Linked DNA regions of Oreochromis niloticus. The protein of the gene in region 1 interacts with the protein of each later gene in a pairwise test. Links are inferred from orthologs where the notes say so. Each region holds a gene or a part of one and is shown on either strand. Other genes may lie near its edges.

The links.
Region 2: the proteins of cchcr1 (region 1) and dtnbb interact in binary tests that used the Homo sapiens proteins (3 or more experiments, as listed by UniProt). The link is inferred for Oreochromis niloticus from reciprocal best matches to the Homo sapiens genes CCHCR1 and DTNB.
Region 3: the proteins of cchcr1 (region 1) and stx11a interact in binary tests that used the Homo sapiens proteins (3 or more experiments, as listed by UniProt). The link is inferred for Oreochromis niloticus from reciprocal best matches to the Homo sapiens genes CCHCR1 and STX11.

Annotation. Positions count from the first base shown.
Region 1 is NC_031975.2:10,912,519-10,922,350, forward strand, and holds the start of cchcr1 (coiled-coil alpha-helical rod protein 1), read right to left. Parts: upstream 6,015-9,832; 5' UTR 5,737-6,014; coding exon 5,667-5,736; intron 5,407-5,666; coding exon 5,118-5,406; intron 5,035-5,117; coding exon 4,867-5,034; intron 4,744-4,866; coding exon 4,626-4,743; intron 4,393-4,625; coding exon 4,198-4,392; intron 3,991-4,197; coding exon 3,827-3,990; intron 3,721-3,826; coding exon 3,606-3,720; intron 3,430-3,605; coding exon 3,319-3,429; intron 3,186-3,318; coding exon 3,165-3,185; intron 2,135-3,164; coding exon 1,991-2,134; intron 1,891-1,990; coding exon 1,780-1,890; intron 1,503-1,779; coding exon 1,396-1,502; intron 1,280-1,395; coding exon 1,167-1,279; intron 1,078-1,166; coding exon 1,005-1,077; intron 410-1,004; coding exon 291-409; intron 180-290; coding exon 1-179. UniProt on the Homo sapiens protein: May be a regulator of keratinocyte proliferation or differentiation.
Region 2 is NC_031983.2:18,631,261-18,641,140, reverse strand, and holds the start of dtnbb (dystrobrevin, beta b), read left to right. Parts: upstream 1-5,888; 5' UTR 5,889-6,107; intron 6,108-8,335; 5' UTR 8,336-8,381; intron 8,382-9,880. Other genes in the region: putative Polycomb group protein ASXL2, read left to right, coding at 1-404, 716-2,509.
Region 3 is NC_031983.2:20,444,504-20,455,412, reverse strand, and holds the start of stx11a (syntaxin-11a), read right to left. Parts: upstream 3,993-10,909; 5' UTR 3,710-3,992; intron 2,551-3,709; 5' UTR 2,546-2,550; coding exon 1,664-2,545; 3' UTR 1-1,663. Other genes in the region: syntaxin-11-like, read right to left, coding at 5,291-6,142. UniProt on the Homo sapiens protein: SNARE that acts to regulate protein transport between late endosomes and the trans-Golgi network.

The sequences.
Region 1 (9,832 bases):
CTGCTCTTGCTGGCTGAGCAGCTCACAGCGGACTCTCTCCAGGGTGACCTTAGTGTCCTGCAGCTGGGCCTGGATCTGCTGCAGGTTCTGCTCAGCCTCCTCTCTACCGGCTACAGCCTGCTCGAGCTCCACCCAGCTCTGCTCCAGCTCCTGCTGCTGTAGCCTAACTTTACTCTCATCTGTGAAGGGTAAAAAGTGCGCAGAGACACATGCATTACAGAAATGTGGATATGTACCAGACAAACAGACGATGTACTATAATGGGTGTTGTGATCCGTATGGGGTCTCACATTGCTCTTTCAGATCAGCGAGAGCGTTCTCGATAAGCACTGGGGTTCTTTTGAGCTCTCTAGTGAGTCTGTCTCTCTCTTCGCACACCAAACTGTGCTCTATCTGGAGGTTTCTGATGCTGCAGGGCAACAAAGATAAAATGGTACAGCAAACAGACAAGCAGAAGTAGAGAAGGCTCTGCATGATGCATAACAAAGTAAGCTAAACAGCCTGAAAGTTACTTTTTGCATGAATTATAATCATCTTGTATAGATACACTGACAGCATAAGACAGCAACACCTGCTATTCACAACACTTATTTCAACCACATTAGCGACTCCTGTTATATATGTCCCATAAAATCATTATGCAGTATGCCACGCTATACCAGCATACAATCAAAACTCCGAACCCTTCCCTCCATGCACTTATTTTATTTCCTTTATTGTTCATGCATCTCACCACATATGAAAGCAGCATCTCATGTCAACTATGTCTACTAACGCAAGAACATGCTGCCATAGTAGAACATGAGCTTTTTATGCGAAAGCCAAAAGAGCAAGTGAGTGGAAGAACAAGACGCTTATAAAGGCTATCTCTTGGCCTAGAATGAGGAGAGCCTAGTGAAAAGACACGTGACCTCAGTCAGATATGATTTTGTGTATGTCTATGATCCAGAAAGAAAGTGAAAGAGAGAATCACCCACATTGAAAAATAAATAAATAAACTGTACCTTTCAGCATCCTTATCTGGCTGTTTACAGGCCTTTTCAACTTTCTGCAGGGCTGCCTTCCTCATGACCAAAGCTGCAAAACAAAACCAGATATAAATTCTTTATGTTCTTCTAGCTATGCTGTTAACCCATCAGCATATATATATACACACACATCTGTACCTTGGACTGTCTCCACTCGTCTTTTAGCAAATGTCAGCCTCTGGGTAAAAGTGTTGAGCCTTGCTTTAGCTGCCTCCACTTCTGCCACCTTGCTTTCAAACGCCTGACAGAATCTGTAAGGCACAGCCAATATATGTCTGTCTTGAATTCTATTTCTATTTTTCTAATACGTCTCCTCATCTTTCCTTATCCTCTCAAATTCAGTTTTGCTATTTATTTATTTTTTTACCTCTGCACTGCCTCTGTCAAGGTTTTAAGTTCAGCCTCTGCTTTCTGGCTCTGTAACTTCAACTGAACATTTTCCTTGTGAACACTGGCCAAATCCTGTTTCAGTGCCTGGAAAGAAAAACATTCCCACATATAACAGAGCATCTTTCACAGATCTGTTTTACTGTTTTTAATGCGGTGCTTAGTTTTTAAGATTGTCTTTCCCCAGGTGCTGTCCTTTAAACCTCAATGGCTCTGGGAACCAAAGTTTTGGTGCAGTCAGCATCATCTGCTGTGGTAAAAAATGTACGAGCATTTATCACTTTCCTAGGCAGACCGAAGTTTATTACGCATCATCAGAATTTCAGACAGCCATGTAAATCACATCAGTTGCCCTGGTACTAACATCCTTTTCCACCCTCTCGAGGTCCAGCTCAGCGATCCTGTCATGTAGGCTGTGTTGGAGCACGCTAGCTCTGTGCTGCTCCTGCTGCAGCTGCTGCTCTGCAAATCTGACCTAAAACACACATCATTGCAGTCCCACATTGAACACAGTTTTAAATACGCTGGAATTACCTGTACTGTGTGGTATAGGAAAATAATAGCCGTTTTCATACTTTTGAAATCAGTTTTTCCTTTTCTCCTCTTATCTCGATGTCCTTTGAGCGAAGCTGGACACACAACTTGAACACTTTCTCTCTCCACAGCTGAAGCACTTGAAGGCCTTCGGATCCTTTCTTCACAAGTGGATCCATCGATGTCTGTGGAAACACACACATATGGGAGACACAAATACACACATACACTTCAGTGCACACACCACATGAGCATGCATAATTGTTTTCAAATTAGCCTTGATGTTTTCTAAAGCACTACATCTTGAAATGAGGAGTTTTCTTCTCTCTTTCCCACAATGTAATACTGCACAAAGGATCTGGGTACTAAAGGTAAACTGACAATGTTTATCAATGGACAATATAGTAGTTTTTATATCAGTCAACTTTACAAAGAGCCCAATGAAAAATAATAATAATTTGCATCCAAAACAGCACCAATTTTCTAAATGCATTTGTGTACTGAAGACCTTCTGTGGATCTAGGCTCTTTCAGTTGCTCATGTCTCTTCATATAATGCCAGACTGACTCGGTGATGTTGAGAAATGGCTCCGTAAGGGCCAGGCCAGGCCATACCATACCATCTCTTTTAGGAGGTCGTGCCAATCATGATATAGGAATCTGACTGCATGTTTGAAGCTGCTGTCACATACAGCAAGGTAAATAATCTGGGACTGACCAAACCCCTTCCAGATGATATTCCATGACACGTAAGAATCTCAACATCTAAACTAGGCTAAACCTTTCCAAAGTACTGTGTAATAACAGAGCATCACAGAGGACGTAGCCTCCAAAAACAAACTAAGCGGTTTACTATAATTACCTATCTCTACCAACTGTTATCATATCTCAGTCTCCTGCAGCGCTACTCAGTATACGCATATGTGAAGTGAGCACCCAAGTGAGTTAACTTAAGACCGATAAAAAAGTGTAATTCTCTGTAATTTTACACTTTTATTTCTTTCAATTTAAACCCAAAGAGTTGTGCTAACAGATTTCTTTAATCTACTACAGCAGCATTTCTTTATTATGTACAAAAATGGCCCTTTCTTCTCATTAGGATATCTCAGATATTACATGTGTAGTTAAATGTATATACACAGAAAGAAAGGTGTGTTTCACTAGTCCAGCTTACTCAATGTGGTCTGTGATGTATATTCAGTTTGACATTTCTTACCTTACGTGGTCCGCAAACATCCTTAGAGAAAACACAAAATCATAGGCATCTGCTGGTTTCACATTGGACTGCTGCTGATCACCAGATGTTTTAAACACAGTTTTGTATCATGTTTTGCTATGTAAATTTAGAAAGAAAGAAAAAAACCACTCACCTTTTTCACCATTTTCTCTTCTTGGAGGGCGAGTATCTCATTCACAGAGTTAAGCCTGACTGTCAAAAGCTCTGCAGTTGTCTGAAGAGCAGCTTTCTCTTTGTTCAGCCTCTGCAAAATGGACAAGATTAAATTACACACAATTAGAGTTAATTATATAATTTGTACATTAACTCATTCATATTTTACTGTTCTTCCTTTACCCTAGTGAAAAGAACATTTGAAAGTCCCATGCAGTTACTTTGCAGTATGCTCATTACGATCAATACTGTTTATATTGCCTCTACCTCAACAGCTTCATTTAATCGTTCCCTCTCTCCTTTCTCTGGTGCAAGCTGGCCGATGTAATTTCTGAGGCTTTGCAATGTAGCAGACTGTGTCTCAAAAGCTTGTCCCATTTGGCTGAAAAATAAACAACAACATGCCCCCCACCACACACACACAAAACAGTGACTACAGAGTGCTTTAAATGCTTTAGTTCTGTTCCGATTTAGATTGAATGAAGCACCTTAAATGTTCTTTTAGTCCATTTCTCTCAGTAGATACTTCCATCAGAGTGTTCTTTAGCTGCAGCAGTTCTGAGGTCACTGACTGAAGTCGGTCCTGTAGTTCACCATTTGTTTTTTGTGCTGCATCCAACTCTGCATGATGGGATGCATTCAACTGTTGCAGCTGAAAATTAGGAAAGTTTAAGACACAGACAAATAGGGACATAATGACTTATTCATCTTCAATTACACATTCTCGCATTACTTGCAAAGTCAGAGTGAAAGGAACTGCTCAGAGTTCTGCTTAGAGATACTTAGTGGTTGTTGCATTAAGGCCCTTAATCCTAAAGGAGGTCACCCAAGTACAATGTTTATGATCAGTTAAACACACCTCCACCTCCTTGTTGTTCTGAAATTCCTCTAGTTGCTCTAATAGTCTGAGAGTCTGTTGTTTGGCTTCCTCTTCAGCCTGCAACCTGCCCATTTCAACCTTCAAAGCAAGCTCCCGGGATTCTTCTTTGCTCCTTTCAGCATCTCTCCTCAGCCTTGTAATTTCCTCATCAGACTCTGCTTTCAGTCTTTCAAGCTGTGAGAAAAAACAGACATATTACAAACAGAAAAAGCAGACTTTATTAACCTTATTATTGTGAAACGTGTTAAATTAAAGGTGACTAAAAGGTTTTATTGGGATCACAAAACTGTACAAAAACAAATTTAACTGCAAACTGCCAAAATAAGTTAGAAAATGCCAGTAACTCTCAGGTGATGTATGTCTACAAGAGTGTCGAAATGAAATGTTTTGTCAGTAAACATCATTACCTGTGAGCTTATTTTTTCCTTCTGTGCGCTGCAGAAACTGAGCTCCTCTCTGATTTGGCTGAGTTCAGACTTAGCCTTGGATAGATCCGTATGTATTGCTTCCATCTCATGGCTGTGTCTGTTGTGCAAAGGTTATTCCAAGTTAAGCTTGTTCAAAACCATTATTTGCTGACCTCCATAATGTGAGGTTACATACTAAATGTGCGGAGATGTCACATAATGACACAAGCACATCTCTTACCTGCTAAGGGTGTTGTCTTTGTCTCTGACCTCTTCCCTGCATCTTTCTGCAATCTCCTTTAGTGCCTCCACCTGCCCCTTTAACCTCTCTGCTTCAGCCTTGTGCTTTTCTGCCTCCAGTCGCCACTCTGATTCCCATCGAGACCAATTATCTCCTCTGTCTTTTGATCTGCATAAAAGGAAAGAGACCACATTAATATGTCCATATTGCCACCCAAGTGACAGACCATATAAAACATGTAGTGGATATACCTGGCTCTACAATCTGAACGATAATCAGGGGTCCTTATGCTGTCTCCTTGTAGCATCAAGATCCTCTGATTTTCCTTCCTCAGCTCCAAGATTTCCTGTTGGGCCTGATTGATGGCAAGCCATGGATTGGCAGGACTTGGTTCCCCTGATGATGGTACTGATATCATGCCTTGGTTTATCCAGGAGATGGGTGGCTGTGTCGCCGGCATTTGAACACATCTGTTTGTTCCAGCAGAATGGGCACTTGATGCAAAATGCGATGGCGGTATGAGGTCCTCCGGAGTCTCCCCTTCATAAAATAAAACAGTGTCTATGTGTTTGCATGCATTAGCTACTCTAATCCAATATAAGGTTCCCCATGTTCGCAAACAAGCCTTTGTTATGCTAAGTTCACTAAAGATAAACATGGCAGCTTCCTGAAGAATAAAATCACTTTTACTTGTTAAACATGAGTTAATGTAAGCGCCAAGTGGGCTGCACTGTAAGCTAACATTTGCTAATTAACAGTTTATTTAGCTCAACCTTTACAAGAATTTAGGAGCAACTTACTCGGAAGTGCTGGTGAGGTGAAATCAGTGGGCACTATCAGCCTCTCCTTCCCTAAAGTTTGTCTCTCCATGTTGAATAACTATTGCCACCACACAGGAAGGAAACAGTACACGACTGCTGTGGTGCGTTTAGCGTTTGTTCTCCCGCGAGTCACGTCATTCTTCACCGTTGCCTTAGTTACGGGTACAACAGCAACATTCAGAGCTCTCGGTTTGGGCAATTTTTGGTCGTATCAGTCGTTATTTTCCGTTCAAATAACCCACATGTTAAAGTTTCGATGTATCATATATCTATGCATATGAAATTCAACAAATTAAATGGTTTATTTAAGCATAACTGTTACATACTGAAACGCCAAAGTGCATCATGGGAAATTGGAAGGAGCGTAAAAATGTATTTGGGTTTTCATTTCCCTAATTATAGTCTCGCAGGAGTTCTTATTTCACGTAAACTGCCTTTAAATATCCCCTAAATCGTAACCCTGCATTGCCGCCTGTTTGTATGCGTTTCAGTGCAGCGTTTGCAGCGTCTACTGGAAGAGCTCTCCTGATAGACCAAATTCAGGGCGTAATCCTGAAATGATAGCACCATCTGTGGGTGGAGCACAGAAGGTATTCTGTGATGGGTAGCATATGTTGAGAAGAGGGGGCACTGAGGACTAAATTAACTGTCCTTCTGGGCAAATTTAAATTCGAAAATATTTTATTTAGATGAAAACAGACACTAGTTAGAAAAACATAGTAAATGTAAAAATTATGAAAACAATATGATATATGAGCTTTCCTGTCCCTTTGTGCAGAAACCACAAGTTTCAACAATAAGAAACACACATTATCATATTTATTATAGGAGAAATATTTATAAGTTAAATAAATCATTAGTCTGTGTCATTCCATTCTTTTGGAGGTGGTTACGTGAGCCATTTATATTCAGGCATTATCTAGATGTAAAGGGATATCATTTAGATAATTAGTGGTAAAGGGTCTCATGTAAATGCACTTAATGAGGTGATAACCTAAAATTACAACATTCCTTCTTTGCCTGGGACTCCCTCACCTCAAGAACACCCAGGGGTGTCTGACAGCCACATCATTTCTGCATAATATAGCCGGCCTTGCAGAAAAGGGCACTCTGAGCAGGTTCATAAGTGCAGGTCTGAATAGCAATTGGTGATCATTTGGTTACGTAACAGAATTTTTGGGGGTTGAGGGGCGTCTATAAATATTTTACCCACAACTGTAAAATCATTAGTATCCTTATATAATTCAGATGAAGCACTTGCAAATTTTTGTAGATTACTCATGAGTTACTTTCCTCCAGTGATGCACATTTTGCACACACAACATTTGTGATTTAAATCCACAAACTGTACACATGTGGCCACCTCCAGATAAAATCCTGTCTAATATTATCTATCTAACAGTCATGATAACCAGCATATTTCACGTATCCCGTTGTATTATTTTCCCCGGGTGTCTGCAGCAAACATTTGTATTTGCTGTTTCCTACAGTATATCCTGTTTTCTGTTGCTGCTATGACCCACTTTCCCCCTGGGGTTCATTAAAGTTTTATATCATCTATTTATGGCATTTTTGAGCAACACAGAGACCTTTTAGGTTGATTCATTTCCATAAATGATCACAAATAAATGCAAGATGATATGGTACATCACCGAGAAAGACAGGGAATGTCAGTACAACATGATAGTGTTCATCTTGTATAATATCCTTAATGTGGTGAAGGGGTGGATAGGGGAGTCCAGCAGGAGTGATGTGCATTGTTTGGACATGCCGATATTGTATCTTCTTACCACAAGGCGGGCACTGCAGCATAGGTCCTGAGGAACATCGCAGAGGGGAAGATGGATTGAGAAGGGCAAAGGGAATCAAAAAAGAAAGACAATACTCACCTTTATCAAAAAGCAAAAGGGAGAGAGAGAATTAGTATGTAAGCTTTGTTTCTATAATCAAGGTGAGCATTGACCACCTGCAGAGCATCAAACACGTAGTACATGAAAGCTATAAAGGACATTTTGATAAAGGCAGGCAGCAAATTGATCTGGGTCCAGACTAAAATGTTCCTTGTTTGGCTCTAGCAGGGCTCTTGAAGCAATGGTGAAGAGGTCTGCTTTTTGTTCACTCTTCAGTTCTGTTAGGTAAACTGTAGAACAAGCAGAACCTACAGAGAACCCCATTTCAACCACAGCACTGAGCCAACTCTCCAACCTCTGCAGACTTGCTTTTCTGATTAGAGCCCTCGCTCTTCAGTTTGAATTCAGCCGTTGTTCATATGGATCATTCAGATAACCATGTTTGTTTTTATTATATCAGAGTGTCACATGAATCCCATACTGGTCTATAATTTTCCCAGTATTTTAGATTTTAAACTGACCGACCCAAATTTTTGGTTAAAATGCTCAGATCTCCATTTGTGAAAAACTGGTTCCTCATTAGTCAGGGCATTTCATACTTTTACCCTCCCAGGTGGATGTGTCTGTCTGCTTCAGTGACAGTGACCTGTTTTTCTTACCACAAGGGCATTGCCAGCTGTGTACATACAGATACTGTCAGGTCAGCATTTCTCTGCCTTTTCTGAAAGCAACTTAAGCAGGACCATTCCTAACCCATCTGGCAGCCTTACAAATCTTACGCAGGAGCTGACAGATGAGTGTGTGACCCAGACCTGGAACCACAGGGTCAGGCAACACTGATTAAAAAGAAGATGTGGGTCTATCAGGCCAGCTGTAGGATGACTTCAGGCTAGAGAGGTCACTAAGAAATGACCTGGTAGATTTATTTCTGGCTTTTTTTGACTGAGTTAGGCAAATAACGCTAAAATTGAATAAATGGCGACTGTTAGATTTACAATGTTTTTGTCCTTTGATAACCAATAGTACTCTGCTCATGTGGTCAGATGAATTTGAAACTCGTTGTAATAAACAGGTATTGTTCCCTGCATGGGAACCAACATATATGCAAAATATTTTCATTTCTTTAAAAAGCTTTCATTTGCAACCCAGCTTGAAGCACACTACACTGGGCAGCATCTCTCTCCAAGAAGTCTAGAAATGATCCCTCAGCTGTGCATCATAGCTGTGACCACTGGGCATTATTAAAAAAAAAAAAAAAAAAAAAAAGGATATGTGGGGGAATATGTCTGCCCTGTCAGCAACTGCCCAGACTTTGCCTCATAACTCATCTGTATCGTTGGGACAGATTCTAGTGTGATGTTCATATTTTTAGATTTAGTTTAACCACTGAATGCAACAAAAGCATAAGCCCAATTCCCCACATACAGGTGCTTAAACAGAAAGTCAGCAAGCTAGAGAAAAACAAAAAACAATTACTGGAATGATCTGGGTTTTTTGGAAGATATATTTTTCCACCTTACCTGTCATAGACTAGTTTCCTAGCACCTGTGGTCATTTTGACTCACAGCATTTAACTATAGTGGGTCTTTTTTTCTTTTTTGGGGGGGGGGTTTGTTTGTTTTTTGCATATTCAGTCTGATTGTTTAAAAAGTGTAGATCTAGTACGAATAAGATTTTTTTAATGACTCTGCTACGAGGGGTGATCAGGTCTAACATGTGCTGCAAAGCATGGGATAACACTGGAGGGTGGTTTGCAAAATTTTCTATTTTGCCGTTGTTGTCACAATTTGCTAAAAAGGCTTTTGCCAATGCAAATGTGTCTGATCTCTCTCTCTCTCTCTCTCTCTCTCTCCGTGCAGGCCTGCTCACTTTACTTTTTGATTTGGTCAGTCGTAGATGGGTTTTACCTCTGCACGAAACGTGTGCGCCCATGAGTGCAGTCCGAGGTTAAGGTGCTTAGTTAATGGTTTCTAAATTGGGATTCAGTCGGGTTTTTTGGATGGTGAATTTAATGCACCGGCGTATCCCGGTGGTTGCCTAGTAACGCGCTGGCAGTGGGCGCCGTAGAGAGATCTCTATGGTGGGCGCTCCATTAAAACCGTTGGCGCTCCTGACCTTGGCGTCGTGAATGCGCAAAGCACACAGACTGTGCGAAGCAGGAGATAAGAGTGAAGATCTGCGCGTTTGATACCGAAACCGGAGAAATATTCCACTCACACTCACACACACGCACGAAACATATTGTTTTATGTAACTGACGGGCATAGTATGGAGGAAATCTCGAGATGGAGCGCG
Region 2 (9,880 bases), on another chromosome or scaffold:
CACCAGAGGTTGAGAAACGTGGTGAATGGAGTGCAGCATCGACAATGCCAGAAAAGGAGCGCAAGGAAGACACGAAGGAGGAGAAAACTGAACGCTCCCAGTTGTCTGTGAACAGCAGCCCTCCACCAAAGGCTAGTTCAGAGTTGAAAGAAGTTCAGTCGGTGTCTATGGTTAAGCCTGCTGCAGAGAGCGAAGAGGTCATCTCAGAGCCCAGTGGCTCCTCAGAGCCGCTGAAAAGGAAGTCTCTCAGTGAAATAGAGGGTGAATTAACACCAGAGAAAAGACCCCGCATATCTTCAGTTTCTTCAGTGTCTTCATTCTCATCTGTGTCTCCCTCAGCATCATCCATATCCAGCCCTGCTACACCAACTTCAACAACAAATCAGAGGGTTCCACCACTAAAGGTAGGAATAAATGTGGCAGCTCAAAGTCTGCTCAGATCACTCTATTTTCTGAGCGGACCTGACAGGTCTGTAGCTTTATCTTTTTAGAGTTGGGCAACTATACTTGCCTCAGTATATTGTTAGTCTCAATATGCTCCAAAGACTTAGAGTTTTCCCAGTAAATCCCAGAGTTTGTTGTTTTGTACATGTGAGGAAATTAAAATAGGATACAGCTTGAAGCCTATTTATATTGTTATATGTTTTTTTAATTTATATTTTTTAGATATACAAATGGGAATTAATCTCTGGGGTTTTTTTTTTCCATTTTGCAGATCCCAGTATCACGAATTCTTCCCTTGCCCGTGTCACCTAGCCAGATCTCACCAAGGACTCCCCTCCCAAGCCCACTTAGTAGCCCATGCCGTACTGGTGCTCGCACTTTGGCAGATATCAAAGCCAAAGCTCAGCTTGCCCGAGCACAACGTGCAGCAGCAGCAGCATCATCATCTGCTTCAAAGGGGGCGGTGCCAGGCCCAGGGCCAGGTGGAGGCAGTAGTGAGCAGACACACCACTTATCCAGCCCGACATCCCCACAGGGATCTGCTAGGTTACCAGCCACACAGTTTAGTATATCTTCTCCTTGCCAAGTGGACTCTTTTGGTCCATGTAGCCCAAACCAGTCTCAGAAGTACTTAAGCAAAACTGAAGAAAAACATACAAGTCTTTCTGCTGGTACTGTCAGTACAGGAATCCATAGCGTCCAAAAGAGTTCAAGTGTATCAGCACAACCATCATCGGTGCATGCTTCAAAGGAACAGGAAATCCCATTAACTGCTGGATCAACAACCAGAACCAGCTCCTGCATCCCTGCAAACAACCCGCTGGTCACTCAGCTTCTGCAGGGCAAAGAAGTTCCACTGGAGCAGATCCTCCCAAAACCGCTATCCAAGGTGGAAGTAAAGATGTCAAACTTCTCCTCTGGTAGTATGGGAAAGGCATCACATTCTGCTGAGCACAGGGCTGAGAAGTTCAATACATCAGGCCGAGCTGGTGTTTTCTCAGAAAACACAAAACATCACAGGGAACTTCCTGACAAGGAGACTCAGGAGCAGATCCTACAGGCTCTAATGCAGAGGAAAGTCCAACAAAGTCAACCTTATGGAGGGGGTGTAGGGCCTCAGTCACCTCAGTACAAAGTTCAGCAACTGATGCACGCAGAAGAGCGACAAGATCGATCGAGGATTTCTGTTGGTTTTTTGGGTCGAAGGAGGATGCCAAGGCCTGCCATGACAGGACATTACCTGCTCAATGTCTCCACGTATGGCAGAGGATCAGAGAGCAGGAGACTTCACCTGTCTGCCATTCCAAACACGTCTGTAACCAGCACAAAAAGGGAAACCACAGAAGCAGAGGATGCAGCCAAGGAGGACCAACCAGCCAGGAAAGTTTTTCTGTTTCCTTCTGGGGTCAAAACAGAGCAGCAAAGATGCTCAGTAAGCAAGTCTAATGAACCAGCGGGCTTTCAGCATCACTATAACATAAAGACGGAGCCTGGATCAGAGTATATTGAAGCTGGTGGTGATAACAACAACACCAGCGCAACCACCAAAGACACCAGCCCTTTTTCTCAGTCACACCGAAGGCACCTCGAACTCAATAGTAATCAAGGAAACTCCGAGCCATATCTTACCCACGTGGATCCCAGTCACCAGCGGCCGACTGCCTTTCAATCCCAGAGAACACTCGATAATCAGGAACCCCCGGTAGCATCATGCTACGGTGGCACTATCAGTATGTCCGTACCTCACACTTTGAACCGCAGCACTGCAGGCACCGGCTCTTCCACATCCTCATCAGAAGCTGATGGTGGTGGCATCCACGGGAGCGTTATGTCCTTCTCAGTGACTGTCACCACCATACCTGCTGGTCACTCATTAGACCACGGCAACCAGGGCGAGCCCTCACCTGAACAGTCATTCATTGAGGGCTCCAACATGGAGGACGTCCAGTCTAAATGCTACTGCCGACTGAAGGCAATGATCATGTGCAAGGGGTGTGGCGCTTTTTGCCATGATGACTGCATAGGCCCCTCAAAACTGTGTGTCTCGTGTTTAGTGGTACGATGATATTAAATTAACAGTAACAAAAGAATGGTTAGAGTTGTATTGTCACAGCACAAAGCAGAAGCAAGTGTTTTAGAATCAGTGCATAATAGCCTGAAACGTGTTAAGTCACGCTTTGGAGAAAACGGCTCTAGCATCGGTTCGTTGTGGGAAAGGCAAGGATTTACACTGGATGGTCTTGTTTTTCCACTAACATCTAAGAAAAGTTGTTTTGTGCAATTGTGTCATAGAAATGCCAATCCATTTTCAATCAAATGTTGTCAGATATGTGAGAAATGAAAACTGGCAGTGTTTGCACTTGGCTAGATTAGTGTGATATATTTTTTTAAATATATATATGCGTCTAGTTTTTTGTTTTTTTTTTTCCTTTTTTTTTGAGGAGGGAAAATGAATGTTGCTATTTTTTTAGAACATAATGACTGTTGTGCTTTAGACTGACACTTTTTATTATTGGTCCTAATCATTTATGGTTTAACGGCAAAAAAAAAGAAAAAAAAAAGAAAAAGGGCGCTAATGATAATCATTTGATGTAGAGTACCTCCTATTTGGCATTTATGCACGTGTGGCAGGGAAGTGCAACTTACAGTAACTATTTTATATGAAACTGTACTTTTATTACTGAACACACTCAGATTTAAGAACTAGAAATGAACATGTATAGTTTTAGTAAGAAGATATAGTGTGATTTTTGAATGATACTTTATATAAATCAACCTGACTTGTTTCCAAGGCAAAGCACTTGAAAACCACCTGGATATAAAGTAATAACGGTGTACAGCACTTAAAATCAAACCTAAAGAAAAGAGAATCATATATAATTCCTCTATAATCCTTGTTGGTAAATTAAGATCTTTTCACTTCCAGTGAAGGTCTGAAGTCACTTCCTACTGCATGAATCAGCATTTCCTCCCCAAAAATCAGGTTTGTGGATATGATCTCCCTTGGTGTGGGATTTCTAATGCTTGTGTGTCTGTATAGATAAATCAGCCGTGGCAAACTTAATTTAAACACTCAAGGCGGGGGGGAGAAAATGCTGACAATTTTGTTATTTTGCTGTATATACTTGCTCATGTATGGTATTTGCCTAGATGTAGAAATATTGTTATTTTATTCGTGCTGCACACCTTGCTTGAGCATAACTGGCTCTTTATTTCAAAATGTTTTTCTTTTTTTTCTTTTTTTACTGTGGAATGAAAATAGAGAAGAACAGTGAAATATGCTAAAAACAGGTACAATATGTCACCAATACATCAATAAGTGAGTGTAACACTTCACTTTAACGCGGCCTTTTTCCAGGAAATTAAGAGAGTGATCCTCTATAATACTGTGGTTGGAAGTATTGTAAAAATGATATTTGTCACATATGTATTTAATCAACAGTAATTTGTCTTTGTGATGCACAACACATTTGTGGTGTCAGCACTTGTTATAACCTTTGCAGGCCCGTTATGATGATTTTAACATTAGTGCTTAGTGCGTACTGACTTGTAAAAAGGCCACTGTGTTTGAAGTGTTATCTCCAAACGTTTTGTGTTTTTGCTGGTTACAAATATTGACACATCTACTATATTTTAGAATCTCCTGGAGGTACAAAACATGACCTCTTTTATAGCAATTATTTCCAAGGTAGTATGCCAAAGTCACCTTAAAGAAAACAAAAAATAATCAGAAGTTGTTTTTAAATGTCTGACTAGTTAATCAAAGTAATATATTTTAATTAATATATTTTAATATAAAAGATCTATTTGCTAATTGTTTTTGACAAATCAACAGGGTATTTACTATATTAATATATTGGCTGTCTTTTTTTTTTTTTTAGGCTGGACAGTCCACCGTGCAGAATAATCACTTTTCAAATAGTCCAGGTATCTGATATTCTGTATGGTCCAGGTTTTTTAGTGAATCCATTGGTCTATATTTTTCGATGAAGATGTTGTCTAAAGTGTAGCTTTTACTTGTCTATTTGCATCATCACTTTATGAAAAGATAATGTTTTAATGCACCATTTAAAAAGTCATTCAATTAATATAGTTTTATTTTTATTTGGTGGTTGTGTCTTGTGGAAAGTTGTTTTTGAGGGCTAGAATCTAGCAGGATTTTCACAAGGCATAGAAATTTCACTTATTAATGACATAGTGATGTTTGAGTTAGTGATACAGATGTGTTTTTTTATTCTCATTTTTGACCCCCATTAATTATTTACGTCATATTTGGTTGAATGTGATGTTAGAGTCCTGCTGGACTGGATTGCACTGCAAAAAAATATTAAGAACAATCATTCTCAACCCTAAAGGCAGCTGAAATTTTTGTTAATGATGACTGAAACATGAGTCCAACAGCAGTCCCAATCAATACTAAGGCTAACTGTGTGTGTGCATTTGGAAGAGTAGAGCACATCATATAGAAAATGGCTTGAAGAAGTGGGGGGTGGGAAAGGAGGGGGGGGGGATTGCCACTTTTTTTCCCCTTCTTCTTTTAATGTCATGTTTGACACTAGGTGAATTTCTTTAATGTCAGTGTCATTTTGTCTCCATTTAAAACTCCAGGTGAATGTAATATAGTAATCAGAACTTGTAAACAAAGTGTATTTTATCAAAGTAATAGAATATTATGAATAAATAATAATGGAAAAAGTTTCTTTTTTTTGACTGCTTCTTCATTTTATTGTATTTTTTTTCTTTGGTACTATTTATAATTATATATATATTTTTTAAAAAGCACAATAATATTACGACCCCTCTGTGGGCCAGTCTGACAAAAAATTCTGTTGCTCCAAAGTTTGACATAAAAACCCTGATTACTGTAACTGAGTTATCCCTGACTGTCTTAGAAAAATGTAAAAAAGAAATGTGGTGGGGTGTCTCCTAAAGATCTCTGCCCTTAGGAGGGATACATGGTTTTATACGAGGTCACAGTTGGGGAGGGGGCGAGGGTATTATTTTCATTAAATAGCTTCAAAAAATAAACTATATTTAATTTAATATTTAAAAACATTTGGGGTCCGTATATTATCCAGAAGAGTCCAGTTGTTGAATAAAGAACAGTAACGCTGTCGTATGACGCTGTTGAGCTGCATTATGGGAAATGTAGAGCCCAGGAGTTATGGAGCTTGGTGCTCCAGACAACTAGAAAGTCATGATACTTTTCCGGTCTTTTAGAAACATCACATCTCTTTCTTTCCCCTCTTGATGAAAGTCCCAAACTGCTGCAGTATCCCTTTAAATGAGCCTAAATGAATACTGTGCTTTTTCCTGTTCAGTGTATAATATTGGGGATTATAATTCAGAGTAACAGCGGTATTAATAATAGTAGTGCGCCTTTAACCAGCGTGCGTGCGCACATGCGTAAAGTGTACTAGTAGGTGGTCGCGCATGGCATCTCCGTGCCTGCTTGTATCTACTGTCCTCTGCCGCTGGGTCGCTGACGATGCCGAGTGGAGCGGGGCGCCTCTACGTTTCTGTGTGCGGCTACAACCGCAGTTGCGAAGACTGAAGTCGGATGAGACGGGAGAGGGGCTTGAAAAACGACGATGGATGGTCCGAGCTGTTTCTCATCGCCCGGACAGCTTTAACATCGGGGGAAACGCGTGGATTTATTAAAGGTGAGAAGTGGGGCTGTCCAGCACGGAGGAAATATCCCCCTTATTCGCCCATAGCCACTTACATCCTCCCTATCTGATGCTGCTGCTGCTGCCACCGATGATGATGATGCTCTAAACACAACCTGCGCGATTTTCCTCCGGTAAAGGCCAATTCCCCGCCATGTATCTTACTTGGCTGTGGAGACACCAGTAGGATTTGAAGAAATGCAGAATTGTCATTGTTTGTTAACCAAAAAAATACAAATTAAAAAAAATAAAAAATAAATGTATGGACATCACGACACACATTCCCCACTGCGGAAATAAGGTAAATAGGCGGTTAAATCAGCAACATGGCTGCGTTGATGCTCTGCCGTCGCTTCAGAAGTGATTTTTAAGTGTTGCGGTGCTGCTCGGCGTTAGAATTAAGGCTCGTAGAAAGGGAGAAGTGAATGATATCAGCGGCGGAGAGATACTGCAGTAACCGAGTCCTTATGTTGACTCGCGTCAAAGGATGTTGTCATTACCTTGGAGCTGAAGGTGCGGTTACAGTAAAATGCACCTTTCCAGGCCTGTGATGATTACTACACAGTCTGACTTCACTGCAAGCATCTGACATCCAAATTATTACGAGCCTGTGATTGTTTATGGGGAAATGAATACATGGCACTAGCTAGAAATCCCATTGATCGGGACCGGTGAAACAGTGATCGCACCGACTGTGATCTGAATGTGCTGAATTTATTTTGGCATGAATTATTAAAAACTTCCATCAAATAATCAACTTAACCGTTAAACTGTCATCTGCTTACAGGCTCCGATTACACGTCTGTGAACACGAACTGCCAGTGTGCAACCCTTGTTGCATACTCATGAATTTCAGCAGTTACCTCATAGGGGGAATATTTACAATGAACCATTGTGATATTTTGCTGACATGTCTCTGCTGGGTCTTCCACTGCATAACAAATGTTTTTTTAACCATTTCGCCAAAGGGCAGTCGTGCCTCTTTGACATATCTGCTCTAAAAATGCCCCCAAAGCTTTTTTTTCTCTCTATTTAGAATCACAATTATGATATATAATTGGTCTAACTTTATCCAAACTACCGTGCTGTGCCAGCTCCAAAGACATGTGATGGTGTTTATAAGCACTGAAGCTGGTTTTTGACTATTGCACAGAGTGGTTTATTGCTGCTTGTGAAACGAGTGGTTGTTGTCAAAGAGCTGAAGATGAGTCATTCAGTTGCTCAAAAAATTTAATTATTTGGAAAAAATCTGACATTTCGTTTGGTTTTTCAAGCAAACATCAGATTCCCACAACTGGATTTTCTGCTTTACTCAACCCGCTGTTTAGGAAGTGGGAGGTTTTGCTTGTTAGAAAGCCAGGCTGTAGTTAAAGATATCACCCAAAGCTGTCGTATGGCAAAAATATTGATTGAACATTTGAGAAAAATATCAGCAGATTGTTTGATGTTGAGAATAGTCTTTAGATGTGGCTCTTATTATATTAATATCTATTATTTAAAACTTAATTTCAATGAAACGTCCCCTTTAAAAATCTTTGCTGGCTCTTGTAAGCAGCACGGAGAAATGTTCAAGACAAGGGAGAGGTGCAAGTTTGTGACTGGAAATAGGCTCTGTCATAACACTAGAGATCAGTCTGTGTAAAACAAGGTTGGATAGAAGTGAAAGCAAAATAAAAAGGGGTGGGGTGGGGGGGGCTTCTTGTCTACACACTTCGAACCTTGGCTTCTATGGTTTGCTGATCAGCTGAACGCCCTCAATTCACCATGAGAATAAGTAATCTAAACATGTTTGGGATACTCTTGAGTCCTTGGTCCCAGGGACACCCAGTGCTGATCGCTTATTGGCTATCCCTAATGTGCTCTGTGTCCGTCATCATTAAGTGGTTCCTTTGCAGCTCAGTTGGTGTCATTAGCCCACAGGATGCAGTCACTGCTGAGCGGGATGTCATAGAGAATTATCATTTGCACAGACCACAGGCACTGGAGTGCTCCCTAGCTGGCTCACCAGTATCTCTACAGGAGGCGATGGGAGGGTTTAACAAAAGCACAAAGTGAGAGTTAATAAGTCCTTGAAGGAGGTAGACAAGGGAGGCGTTAATTACTTATTTAAAAGTCTACTACATTTTGTCAGCGTGGAATAGCTCATCTCTCGTAGTAATGGTGGCGTCGAGTCAATATCAAGACACCCTCGCTGACCTTTTTCAATTTGTTTTTCTTTACAGGGTCAACGTTTAGGGCTTCACTTTGTTGACATACAGTGTGCGGCAGGTAAGTACTTTTAAAATCAGTGAGAATCAGTGTGTATATAATATGTCACATGTAAAGCATTTCATATAAGCGCTTGGTAAGCAGGAAAGGATACGGTGTCCATGTGCAAATTGTCTTCACGGTAAATTATTTTTGTCAGATAAGAAAACAAGTCCAAAACAATTGGTGGTAACGGTAAATTAAAATGTGTTTGAGAGAAGTGACACTGTAAAGAAGTGACTGGAATCACAACATTAAAAGCCATGGAGACGCTTTTGAAAAATAGTACAGAGAAAGAAGTGAATGAAGTAATGAAGCCTGTGTTGTTTCAAAGGGGGCTTTTCTTTCCCTGCTGAGCTGAGGAAAAACACACACCAGCAGTGAATCCTGTTTGAAAATGCACAACAGAGTCAACAGTGAAGTTGAATCAGGCAACAACAGTTAAAGATGTTCAATAGGCAGCTCTTCTTTGGTATCAGATAATTATTTGGGGGCATTGAGAAATATTTTTAATCTTATTTACGTGCTCATGAGTTTAGAGCTAAATAGATTTTGTCGTCATATTTTAAAAGATTTGTAGAGAGTGCAATTTCCTTGGCTTCTTGAGATTCTCTTTCGAAGAACTGCAATAGACAGCATACTTTTCTTTAATGCAAAATTTTATTTTCACTAGTAAAGAATTGATAAGATTTAATAATTTTGCCAAACTGCAGTAAGTTACACTTACTCTTTCATTGCTCATACCGAGCCTGATACTGATAGCTTTAGCTTTAGCCATTTTGCCTTTGCTGCCTTTTTAAAATATCCATGTTCAGCTTGGTGAGGGGGATTTAAGTGTCTTATTAAAATTGTTGTTCCATTTTGTGGTGATTTATTTTGGCAAGGTTTGTGTCTTCACCCATTAAGATGCTAGCATATGACTGTTTGCCTATGCCATTGTGGTCTGGCCCATAATAAGCCATATATGTACATGAGGCTGACTGGCCGGTCACCTGTCTGGGCAAAGAACACTGGAAATCAGCTGATTCTGGTCTCTTGTTGGTCAGTTGGCGCATCTCTAGTTATTTCCACTTCCCCCAAGAGTTAGATCACATAAGTGATCTATACCATTCTTACATTGGTAAGCTAGTATAGCCATAAACTGGTAAAACTGGCTATGCAGAAATACTGGAATACTATATATAAATATCCCATATGCAACCCACCCTAAACTACAACATATTCTGGTAATTAGTGAGTTTTAGAAGCTGGAGAGCAAACCATTTCCACATTTTCAAATCTTTATACTAAGCTAAGCTATTTGGCACCTGATTGTAGCTTCATATTAAACCTACAAATGTGAAAGGATTTTTTTTTAATTTTTCCTTAAATACCCAATGAAAGAAGTAACATTATTCTGACAGTGTTAAACTCTTCCTTTTAATAAAAGTCACCGTTCTGACACGGCTATTCTTTTACCAAGCACACTCTCAGTATAATGTATATGTAATTTCTTTTCAGTTTTCTGTCCCTTCTCAGTA
Region 3 (10,909 bases), on another chromosome or scaffold:
AGGGGCTTTTGAATATTAATATTTGCTACTGTACTGCCGTTTTGTTTGCATTTGGACCACACTGTGTAATCAAATACCTGTTAACTCTCAAATCTATAGTGAGGCAGTGAGGCGTGCCCCTTGTAATTACCCAAAATCTCTCTTAGTTTCTTAGCTGAACCAGAGTGCATGCGTGCTAAGAAAAAAACAGACAAAGCAATGGCAAACAACAGCAATCTCGAAGGAAGGTGATAATTATTACTGTGGGAGCTTAAGCGCAGAGAGGCTGACCATGAAGAGTAAAGTCGTCCTGAAGTGCATGAGACTGCACGCATTTCCTACAAACATCGGTTAAAACTTCCATTTTTACCAGGAGTGGGGTTCGAACCCACGAGGACTATTGTCCATTGGATCTTAAGTCCAACGCCTTAACCACTCGGCCATCCTGGTGAGTGCGTGTGCACAATCAGCGCATGGCACACATCAGATAAAGCCGTGTGACTCCAGCACGCACAGCTACCAGAGGCGTGACGCCACAGTTCAAATAAACGCGCTCTTGTCGGTAAATGCCCCCAGTAGAAACCGCACAGCACTGCTGAGGAAGTGCAATCATTGCAACCCATGAAACTCATTTCAACACAGAGCAGAGGCAGTTAAGTCTGAAAACTCCCACAGGTACACAGCAGTACCTTTGGCAGTCTGAGTCACAACACCCTCAGTTTACCAGCTGATGACTGGGATTCCCCCAGTGAGGGATGGGCTGGCCCAGAGGCACAGGGAAATAAGGGTTTTTGAATTTTACTGCCATCACAAAGGGCAGTGAGATAGGCCTCCTGTGCAAACAGAAAGTCCTCTGACCTGTTTAGTTTGCCATTCTGTTCTGTTTCTCCTGTAACATTACCTGTGCAAACACCGCATTAAGTCAGGCAAACTGCCCTGTTAAAGAGATTTCACTGGCTTTGGTGAGGTTGGTTGTGTGGCAGTGGTAAACAAAATCATTGACTCTCTAAAGTGGAGCTGACACACAAATATTTTTGTGTTTTTTTTATGTGAAGCAACACGTGGAGGAAAAGCACAGCCTTGGCTTGTAGCTGGGGGTGGCTAACATATAGTTGCACAATCCTCACAAATCTAACTTGCCTCCCCAGCTAACCACAATTGCTGGTTGAGCTGTGATCAGTGTTTCTACACACTTGTGAAGCAATGGTTGCAATAAGAAACACGTCTATAGCAAGTACCAGTTCCGAGCTTAGCTGTAGATGTACATTCAAGTTGTCCAAATATAGCCACTCCAAGGCATTTATTTATAAATAAAATCATACTATATGGGCTTAAATATTGCATGCCGCATTCCAAACTGTACAAAGCTAAAAGCTAAACAAAGCTGCAAGCCACATGAAATAATAATTTAGATGTTTTTACAGCAGTCGTGTATGCATAAGCTGTTCTCAGTAGCAATCAGGAAATGTAACTACCATTATCGCACTGTATATATTTGCATATGTGCATGTGGTTTGAATCACTCTGACTAGTTGGTATCAACTCAGTAAAGAAAATGATACCAGAATGTGATATCTGGACACATCTAGAGCAGCAAAAAGCTTTCATGTAAGCATTCAGAAACATTTGCAGGAAAGCGGATTTGAATCAAACGTTCTGGTAGGGTGCGGGAACTGGTGGCGCCTCATTTACAGCACGGGAAACAACAACAAAACAGCTTCTTGCATGGATTGCTTTCCTTGTATATTTTAGCCTGCTTGATGTGCGCTGAAGCTTTGGCTACATAGTCCTGTGTTGCCCCTACATTTGCTTCTATGTTGTCGAGCATGCAACCCTGCTGCTCCACCAGCATCGCCATCTGGAAAAAAAGCTCGTGAATGTCCCTAATGCGGCCCTCCAGCTCCAGCAGCTCCTTGTGCCTGTTCTCAATCTCGTTGAGAGCAGATCTGGCAGTCCTCCCTTCCAGTAGGAGATTATCCGAGAAGACATTCCACTTGCCCGTCTCAATCATCTCGTCTATCTGCTCCCTGGTTACCTCCTTGCCCATGATCTCTGCTTGCCTCTGGATGCGGGTTTTGCAATTCTCCCTTTGCGCCATTTCAGCCTCATTGTATTCAGACATGGCACTGTGGAAGGCGCTGGTCAAAGACACATACTGCGAGCGCACCATGCGAGCCAAAGCTGATGTGACACCATGGGCTTCCTCCAGCTCCTTGCTCAGCTTCCCCATTTTTTCCAGCTTTTTATAAATGGACTCCCCTCTGGCCTTGATGTCTCGTCCCAGTGCGTTGGAGTCCCGCTTGATGCTGCTGATCCTCCTGACTGATGTGAGGAACCTGGTGTTCTGCTTCCCCAGACGTTTCACATCCATTCTGAGCAACTGGATCTCCTTCCTCATCACTTGGGCATCCTTGTAGATGCCATCCATCATGTCCTCACCCTCAAACACGATGGCGTGTTGCTCCAGAGGCTTCTCATCCTCACCGGTGAGTCTCTCGTTCTCCGTGGGCTTGTACTCCTGCTCTGCAGGCGTGAAGGCCTGGAGCTCAGTCAGTCGGTCCTTCATCTTACCTGCAAGAGTCACAGACATTTATTCACCTTTCTAATGGAATTGTGGGAAATGCATTCTTTACTCTGAAGAACTACATTAAAAAAAACTGATATCAAAAATTCTCATAGCACAACTTTATTTTGCTGGCTTTGCTCCTCGTCATCTTATTTCCTGTCACATGTATACTGTTCATATTAAACAAAGCAAAAGTTTCAAATAGTGATATTAGTACATGTAAGAAAACAACCAGGCTTTGGACTGTTGTTTCTACTCTCAGCTCTATATGACGTCACTTTGTACATATATCCTTAACATAGTCATCTCAGGCACACAGGTCTCTGGCCTTGAGCACAGAAGCCCCACCCATCTGTATTCAAGCCTTTTATTTTCAGCTAATCAGAAGAAAATTGGGGTAAAGGTCGGCGGCCATAAGGAGAGAGGACTTAAAATGGCTTATCTGACAGGTTTATTCTGAAATGTGAATCACACAAAGCTACACAAGTTAAGTCCCAGATTTATTTATTTATTTTTAATGTATGGAAAATCTCCAGTCACTTACTGAATGAAACTGGATATTGAATAGCAAATAAGATGGGTCACATAAATGTGACCAGCATGAGTATTAATCTACTGTTCTTTGGTAATTTCCTTTCAATATTGCACTGAATCCTCCTGTTAACAGAGAGAGGAAGGGGCTGGTATGACACTGAGTTCTTCTTTTGATATGTTATTATTAATATTAAGGCACTAATGTTAAGTCTCACTTTTAGATAACGATAACAGTTTTTGATGTGCTATGCAAGGTGGCTGTAGGTCAGTGAAAAGTCCTCAAAAGCATTGGCGAGTTACTTCCTCAGCTGTGTGACTCACATCATCATCAGATAGAAGTTATTTTAAAAGTTCCTGTCCTTCATTCGCGGTTATTTCCTGCTAAACGAATCAATTCCTGAGGTGTACTGTGATGTAGATAATGTTAAAAATCCTCACTAAAATGAAAAAACCACATCAGAGAAGCGCAAAGCATCCTCTCCCGTGATAAGGTGAGATCGGGAGGAAACAGAATAGCTCGAAAGCAATTTTTTGATATAGAAATCGACCTATATGACACAATACACCAATGTATCGATTACTGAGCCTATATCTACATAGAGAGTACAACAGAAGGTGCACACAGCCTACCTTTTTGTGTCCTCCACCGATATTAGAGAATTAAAGTCCCAAAAGCAGAAGGGGCGAGTACGGAAAGAGTCATTTCCTCTTTTTGTCTCGGTTATAAATGCAAATTTCAACAGTCAACTTAGAATTTTAAGGAGGTCTTGCATCACGTCCTATACATTACAAGTGACACGCTGACATTACACTGCCCATATAGCCTGCAGCGGGTATTAATGCGGAAGATAACGCCTTTTCCCCTTTACACATTTCACTGCTTCTCGGGTTTGATTCCAGGAAGGAGGTGTAGGTCAGTCACAGTCATTTTATATGGTGTGTTTTTATGTCAAAGCGTGCGCATTTGGCATTTGCGCAATAAAGGTTTTGTGTTCTAAAAACGTTTTAGACTTATGAGTCGACCACGAATCTCAGTCATTTTCATTTTAGTTTAAACTCTTCGCTGTGAAGATAGAAAAGAATACAAGAAGGACAAAAAAAGAAATTCAGCTTACTATACTAATATAAAAACGCGAATAGAAGTTCAACATTAACCTTGAAAACGGGGGCAAAGCCTCAACATAAAACACATTTAGTGTTCAGGAACAAGTGTTTGACACAAGTGGAAAGTGCAACCCCAATATTTTACATGTGGTTTTAATGATCAGGTCTAAAAATACAATGCTAAAAATATACATCGAGTATTAAAATTTACATTTCTGAGAGAAAGGGGAGGGGGGGGGGGAGTGTTACAACACTGTGAGTCTTGTAACCTGTAATAAGCAATTTTCTTTGGTAGTTGGGCAAGAAAAAGCCTTCATAACTGCCTTATATGTAGGGACAGAAGAAGTGCTATGGCCATTTGCTCCATTTAGTCAGCTGCAACAGTCCTGTGTTGAAAAATTGATAATGTATCAGAGTATTTAAAAAGCTGAAGTACTCGCAATGTAAAATTACAGATGATAAAGATCAAGTTGAAATGAAGAAGGGATACTCACGCAAGGTTTTTTTTAAATCATTATTTTACTTAAGGAGGACAAGTCACACAGACTTAGTATAGGCTGATATCCAGATTATTGACACTGTCCTTTGACTGGTATCATACAGTTACAGGAAGAAATCATTAATGGTTACAGGAGTCGTAGTCATACCAGCCTGTTAATGGCTAAACTTTTATACTTCTATCAATAAAGGCCACATTACACTTTCACATAAAATCACATAAAATCTAAATATACCTAAAATAACAATCTAAAATCACCTAACGTAAAGATTTAAGGTTAAATATTAACAGCTCTAGATTAGCAATTGCACTTTGCTTTTACAGATAAATGCCTTAAATAAATATTTCACTATACATCTATTTTTTAAGCACCTATCCAATTCAGGCTTGCAGGAAGTGGGGCCCTTCCCAGAGAAACGGAGAATCAGCACCTTGGTGGGTCTTGTTTTATGATGACCAGCCCAACTTGGCTTCATCACCATCAATGTTCAAACCTTTCTATTAGTGGCGCCATCTACTGTGCACCCATCTGTGGGTGTATCCTGGAAGTCAGTGTGATTCATTAAAAGTTTCACCATATTTTAGAATCAATAAAAGCTTCATAAGGCCTAATTGTGATAACATGGAAAGCAGCCGCAAAACATCTTCTTGAAAGGGTTGTTTTTATCAGATTTAGTGGCATTATCCAGATAGACCCTGCTTTCCAGAATGATCACATCAACATTTTGAACATTTTTCTGGATGTTTTCCACTCCTGTGCCCTGCTCCTCCATGAGGACAGCCACATCTAGGAACAGTTCCTGGATCCCCTCGATTCTTTTCTCCAGCTCCTGCAGCTCATGGTGCCGGCTCTCGATCTGCATGAGGGCAGACCGGGCAGATTTGCCTTGTATCTGGGTGCTGAACACAGTCAGTTCTTCACCCTCCATCATCTCCTCCAGCTCCTCCATGCTAACCTCCTTGCCCACTATCTCCATCTGTCTCTGGATCTGCTTTTTACAGGCTTCCCTGTGGTTCATCTCTGTGTCATTGTAGCTGAACATCACCTCCCGCAGAGCGTTGCTCAGGCAGTGGTACTGTGTTCGAGCAACGCGCACTGTGGGGTCCAAACTGCCGCGCTGGACCTCCAGTTCACCTCTGAGGTTATTTAGCATATGCAGCCTCTGCAACACAGCTTCTCCTCTGCGTTTAATATCTGCCCCGATTGCATTGGAGTCCCGTTTTATCACAATGGAGTCTGAAGTCTTATTCAAAGCCTGATAGTTCACGTCCTTCAGATCTCTGATGTCATTTTGGATCTGCTGGATTTCCAGACGTATCAGCTGGGCCTCCTTCAGGACATCATCCAGCTCATTATCTCCAGCTGTTGCATCATGATCTGATAGGTTATCTAGCTCCACTGTACTGAAACCCTCAGTGTCAGTCTGGACCTGATGCAGGTGTCCCAGTCTGTCTCTCATGGCTGGAAGGAAACAGAAAAAAAAGGTAGATTTACTCATCTGGGAGAAAAGGTTTATCCATGACTTGAAAAAAAAGCATCACAAACAATATATTTAGTGTTTAGCAACTTTTAGAGGCAATGAGCAACCTTATTCTTCATTTGTAATCATGTTTGAGGCCAGTCTTCAGCTTCTAAGGGAGGTATTTGGCTCTTTGCCTGCTAAAGTTGAAATTAAGCTATGTTGAACAGCTAGGTGTGTGTCTGTGTGTGTGTGAGCAGATTGCTTTTTCAGAAAAAAGCAATCTGCAGCAGTTCAAAATGATGACGATGGGAGAAGTGAGTGTCTTAAAGTGAAAAAAAAAAACCCTCACCATTACGAAGCTGAGGAGATTATTATCATCTGTGGGTTTGTGTGTACGTGCAATGCCTTTTTTAAATTACACATGTTGTGTTGATTAAAAATAAATATACAATAAGCTTTGCAGCTGCTTTTATTTTTTATTCTTTTTTTACAAAGTGAATGAATAAAAAATTTCAAACTGAAATTTAAGGAAATATTTACTCTTCAAACTTGGTTTAATTGATCACAACCAATTAAACCACTGAACTGCTGAACTGACTGACACTGCCTGACCTTTTTACCCCGAACAGGCCAAACTGTAACATCCCTGCTGAAGACATAAATGCTTCCTGTTGTACAAGCTAAGAAGAAAAATGCAATTTAAAAAAACAGAAAAACACCAAGAGAAAGCTGTTTCCCAGCTAATAACTGTAAAGCTTTTATTCTGTTAAGCTCATCTTACAAAATAAAACACAAAGGTTTTGTAATCAGTGCATAGCAGCGTGGCACATTTTCTACGTCTCCAGTATCGAGTAATCTTAGATGAATTCTCCTGATCCACTAGGACATGTAGTCTGTCAAAGACTTGCCAAACAAGTTCTCAAACAGAGGAGCTGTTGGATTTTTTTGTTAGTGCTAAAACTTTGAATTAAAGTGTTTTAAGCTTTGGTGACGGTTTAGGTCCCAAGCAGATCAGGTAAACGTGAGCCTCAAGGCTGAATGCAGCAGCCCAGGTTTTATTTGGACTTGAGGAACTTTAACACTCTCATTTCCTACTTTCCTGAAAAGCCCAACCCCCAAAAAACAAAAATAATAATAATATTTTAAGCTTAACTCAACAAAAAACAAGAGAAGACAAGCAAATCATGTTACTGATCACCGTCATACAAAGCAGACATGAACTCAGTCACAAGGAAGTCTGGTTGGATTTAAATGATTTTTACAATAGATAATACACATTTTACATATTTAAACATAATCTATTATTCTGAGCACTGAAAAAGTCTTATTTGGGATTTGAATACTTTCTGTAAACATTAACAGTGTAAAGTACATGGACATAGGTGTATGATTTTGCCAGTACTGGCCCTTTTCTTTGATGATGATGGTTCATCAAGAAAAATTCTCCCTTTCTATCAGATGCAGTTTAAACTCACTAACAGTTTAATGTCTTGTAGCAGGATGCTGTGCTGACAACATTTGCACTAAAAAGGCCCCCTGAGCAAACCTAAAGAATATAAAACCTATAACGCTATGATTATATAATTATTATATCTTACTTGTAGTGTTCTTAGTTAGCTGTAGATGAGTTTCAGACTTCCTTGTCCTCTGTAGTTAAAGGTGATCATGAAAACAGGAGTTCAGTCCAGTTAGCAGAGTGACGTCTGCTTTAAGAGCAAGTGATTTTTTAAAACTGTTAACCATCATCTCTGATAGACCTGCTTATGAGGAAAGGTTTTTAAAAACAAAACTTTCTGCATTCCTCTCGTGTCACGTGGAGACGTGAGGTGACGTACAGTAGGACAAAGCCATACTTGTCAGCGATTTAACATAAAGATGAAGCACCCCTGCTTACATTTCACCTCTATTATCATTACCTTTACTGCACTACTTTTAGCGTTCTCGGGTGTTGTTTTCTGTCAACAGAAATGGCAATGAAGGGGGTAAATGGCTGTGCTGAGGCCTTGACAAAGCACATATAAGATAACATCACGGATAGAGGTCACTGACTTTGGACACACAACATGTTAAAAAAAATAAAGAGGAAGTATTTGAGATAGCTTATCTTCCAGAGGGGTGGGACCAAAATGTTCTTATATGATAAAAACTCAAGTCTAAAAAAAAAGAAAAAGAAAAAGAAGAAGGCAAGAAAGACTGCCTTGTCTTCTTTATTTAATAATTCTACATCCTTTCCTGTTTCATGAAACACAATCTAAGTGTGAAGCCACCAACCATCAAGTGATTTTCAGTCATGCAGCCAGAAAAAGAAACTCAAGCTGGATAGATCATTCGGTGCATAGGCTGCATGTACATGAGCAGTAATTTCCATCAGCCTACTGAGTTTCTGAGTCACTGGGATGTTTCTCATGGGGGATTTTTTTTGAAGGCCAACGTGTGCCATATAGCTGTATAAGCATAACTGACACTTTACTCTTAACTCAAAAGCATAAATGAAACCATGTAAGGTTAAAAATTCCCCACTAAACCACAACCAGCAGTAGTGTTTCTCTTTCACGTTTCTGTTTTTAGCACATTTCTCACTCGCCTTGTTAAGACCTGGTGTCATGGGCTAATGGAGAGAGGAGACAAATGTAGTAGATAAAGAGAAACTGGGTGTTGACTAAAAAAAAGGAATAAAAAAAGGCTAAACAAAGGCCAAAAAGATGACTCTAACACAGCACAGGAAGGACAATTAAAGAAAGACAGGAGAAAGAGGAAGAGTGGACTATATATAGACTGTGGACTAACTGGGGAATAACAGACAGTAGAGGAAAAAGACACAGGTGAAACACAATCACAACCTCCTTTACTTCACAAAGGGGGAAGGAAATTTAAAAAGCAAACTGTTAAATTTAAGCAGAAGACAGCTGATACTACACACATTATACTCACACTAAACATGATAACAGAAAGGGTAGAAGAATATGGAGAGGAAACATATACAAGGGAATCACTGTGGGAACTAAAAAAAACCCAAAAGAAGAACTTCCAAAAACCACAAAGGAAACAGAACTCAAATTTTAAAAAGCTAAAGCTCAACATCATTAGAATGATAAAGACACAAAAACAGGAATCCAGAATTAAACCTTCACACAAAATCCTAGAAAATCCTTAAAGACTAAGAAACTTGGTTCATTTTTTTGTGGTCCATGACAAGAAACAAATTCAAACACATGCATTTGTTGGTCAATTCAAATCACAACAAAGCAAAAAAACCAAAGGATCGACCACTAGGTGGCAACAAAAATAAACCGTTCAGTCAGAAGATCTCAAATTAGAACCCGAACTTTGTTTTTCTAGTTTAACTGTCACCTACAGCTTTGAGTAAGGGAAATATTGACCACTTTATTTCATTTATCTCTATACAAGAGTGAAAGGGAAGTTTTACAAGATGCTAGTGAGACCTGCTGTGATTTATGGTTTGGAGACGGTGGCACCAACAAAAATTCTTCCATTCTTCTATTATGTGTTTTATTCTATTGTTAAGTGTCCTTGGGTGTCTTGAAAGGTGCTTTTAAATCAAATTTATTATTATGGAAATTTTTCTAAAATTGTATTCTTTATTGTAAGAATAACAGTCTCTTCAGCAGTCTTATGGAGACTCGGAGAGCCAGACTGCGGTCAAGTGAGCCCTCACTTGCGAAGTCACAGTCAAGCTAGCCGCCCCGCCAGCCGCACCTAAAATGTGGTTGCACTATTCTTACGCATATTACGGTATGGATGCCGACTGCCTTAGAAACGCAGTCTTTTGTGTCCTGACACTATTTAACTTCACAATCCACTCCGTTTTGGTTCATCTCCACTTTTCCCCTTGTGATCCACAGCCAAGATTACTCTACGAATCAGAGAAAATTAACAATAAAATTTATCCAATATACAGTACTGTACTGTTAATATCTTCATCTTTGACCTCAGATTACATATAAACTGTACGAGGTGACACAGATATTTCACTGGATTCTGACTCTAGGCCGTCTCCACTCTGCCCCCTGTCATCCACAGCCAAATTTACTGTACGGTTTTCCAGAAAATTGATAGTAAACTTTGCACAATTTACTCTACTGTACTCTACATATTCTCATCTTTGACCTCAGATTACAGGAAAACTGTAAGAGGTGCCGCAGATATCTCACTGGATTCTGACTCTAGGCCGTCTCCACTCTGCCCCCTGTCATCCACAGACAAATTTACTGTACGGTTTTCCAGAAAATTGATAGTAAACTTTGCACAATTTACTCTACTGTACTCTACATATTCTCATCTTTGACCTCAGATTACAGGAAAACTGTACGAGGTGCCGCAGATATTTCACTGGATTCTGACTCTAGGCAACCCCCACTCTTCACCCTGTCATCCACAGACAAATTTACTGTACGGTTTTTGAGAAAATTGATATTAAACTTTGCACAATTTACTCTACTGTACTCTATATATTCCCAACTTTGACCTCAGATTACAGGAAAACTGTACGAGGTGCCGCAGATATCTCACTGGATTCTGACTCTAGGCCGTCTCCACTCTTCACCCTGTCATCCACAGACAAATTTACTGTACGGTTTCTGAGATTGCTGTGTTAACAGAGTATGACAGAGGCTAAGAAAATATACTGCCTAAAATATAACGAGCTGACGACCTGGGAAAATCTCAGCAGGGGTGCTTAACACCTCAGGACTTGCACCAGAAAATAAAAAACCCAGTAATTCTAGGGGGTGTTGGGTTTAGGGA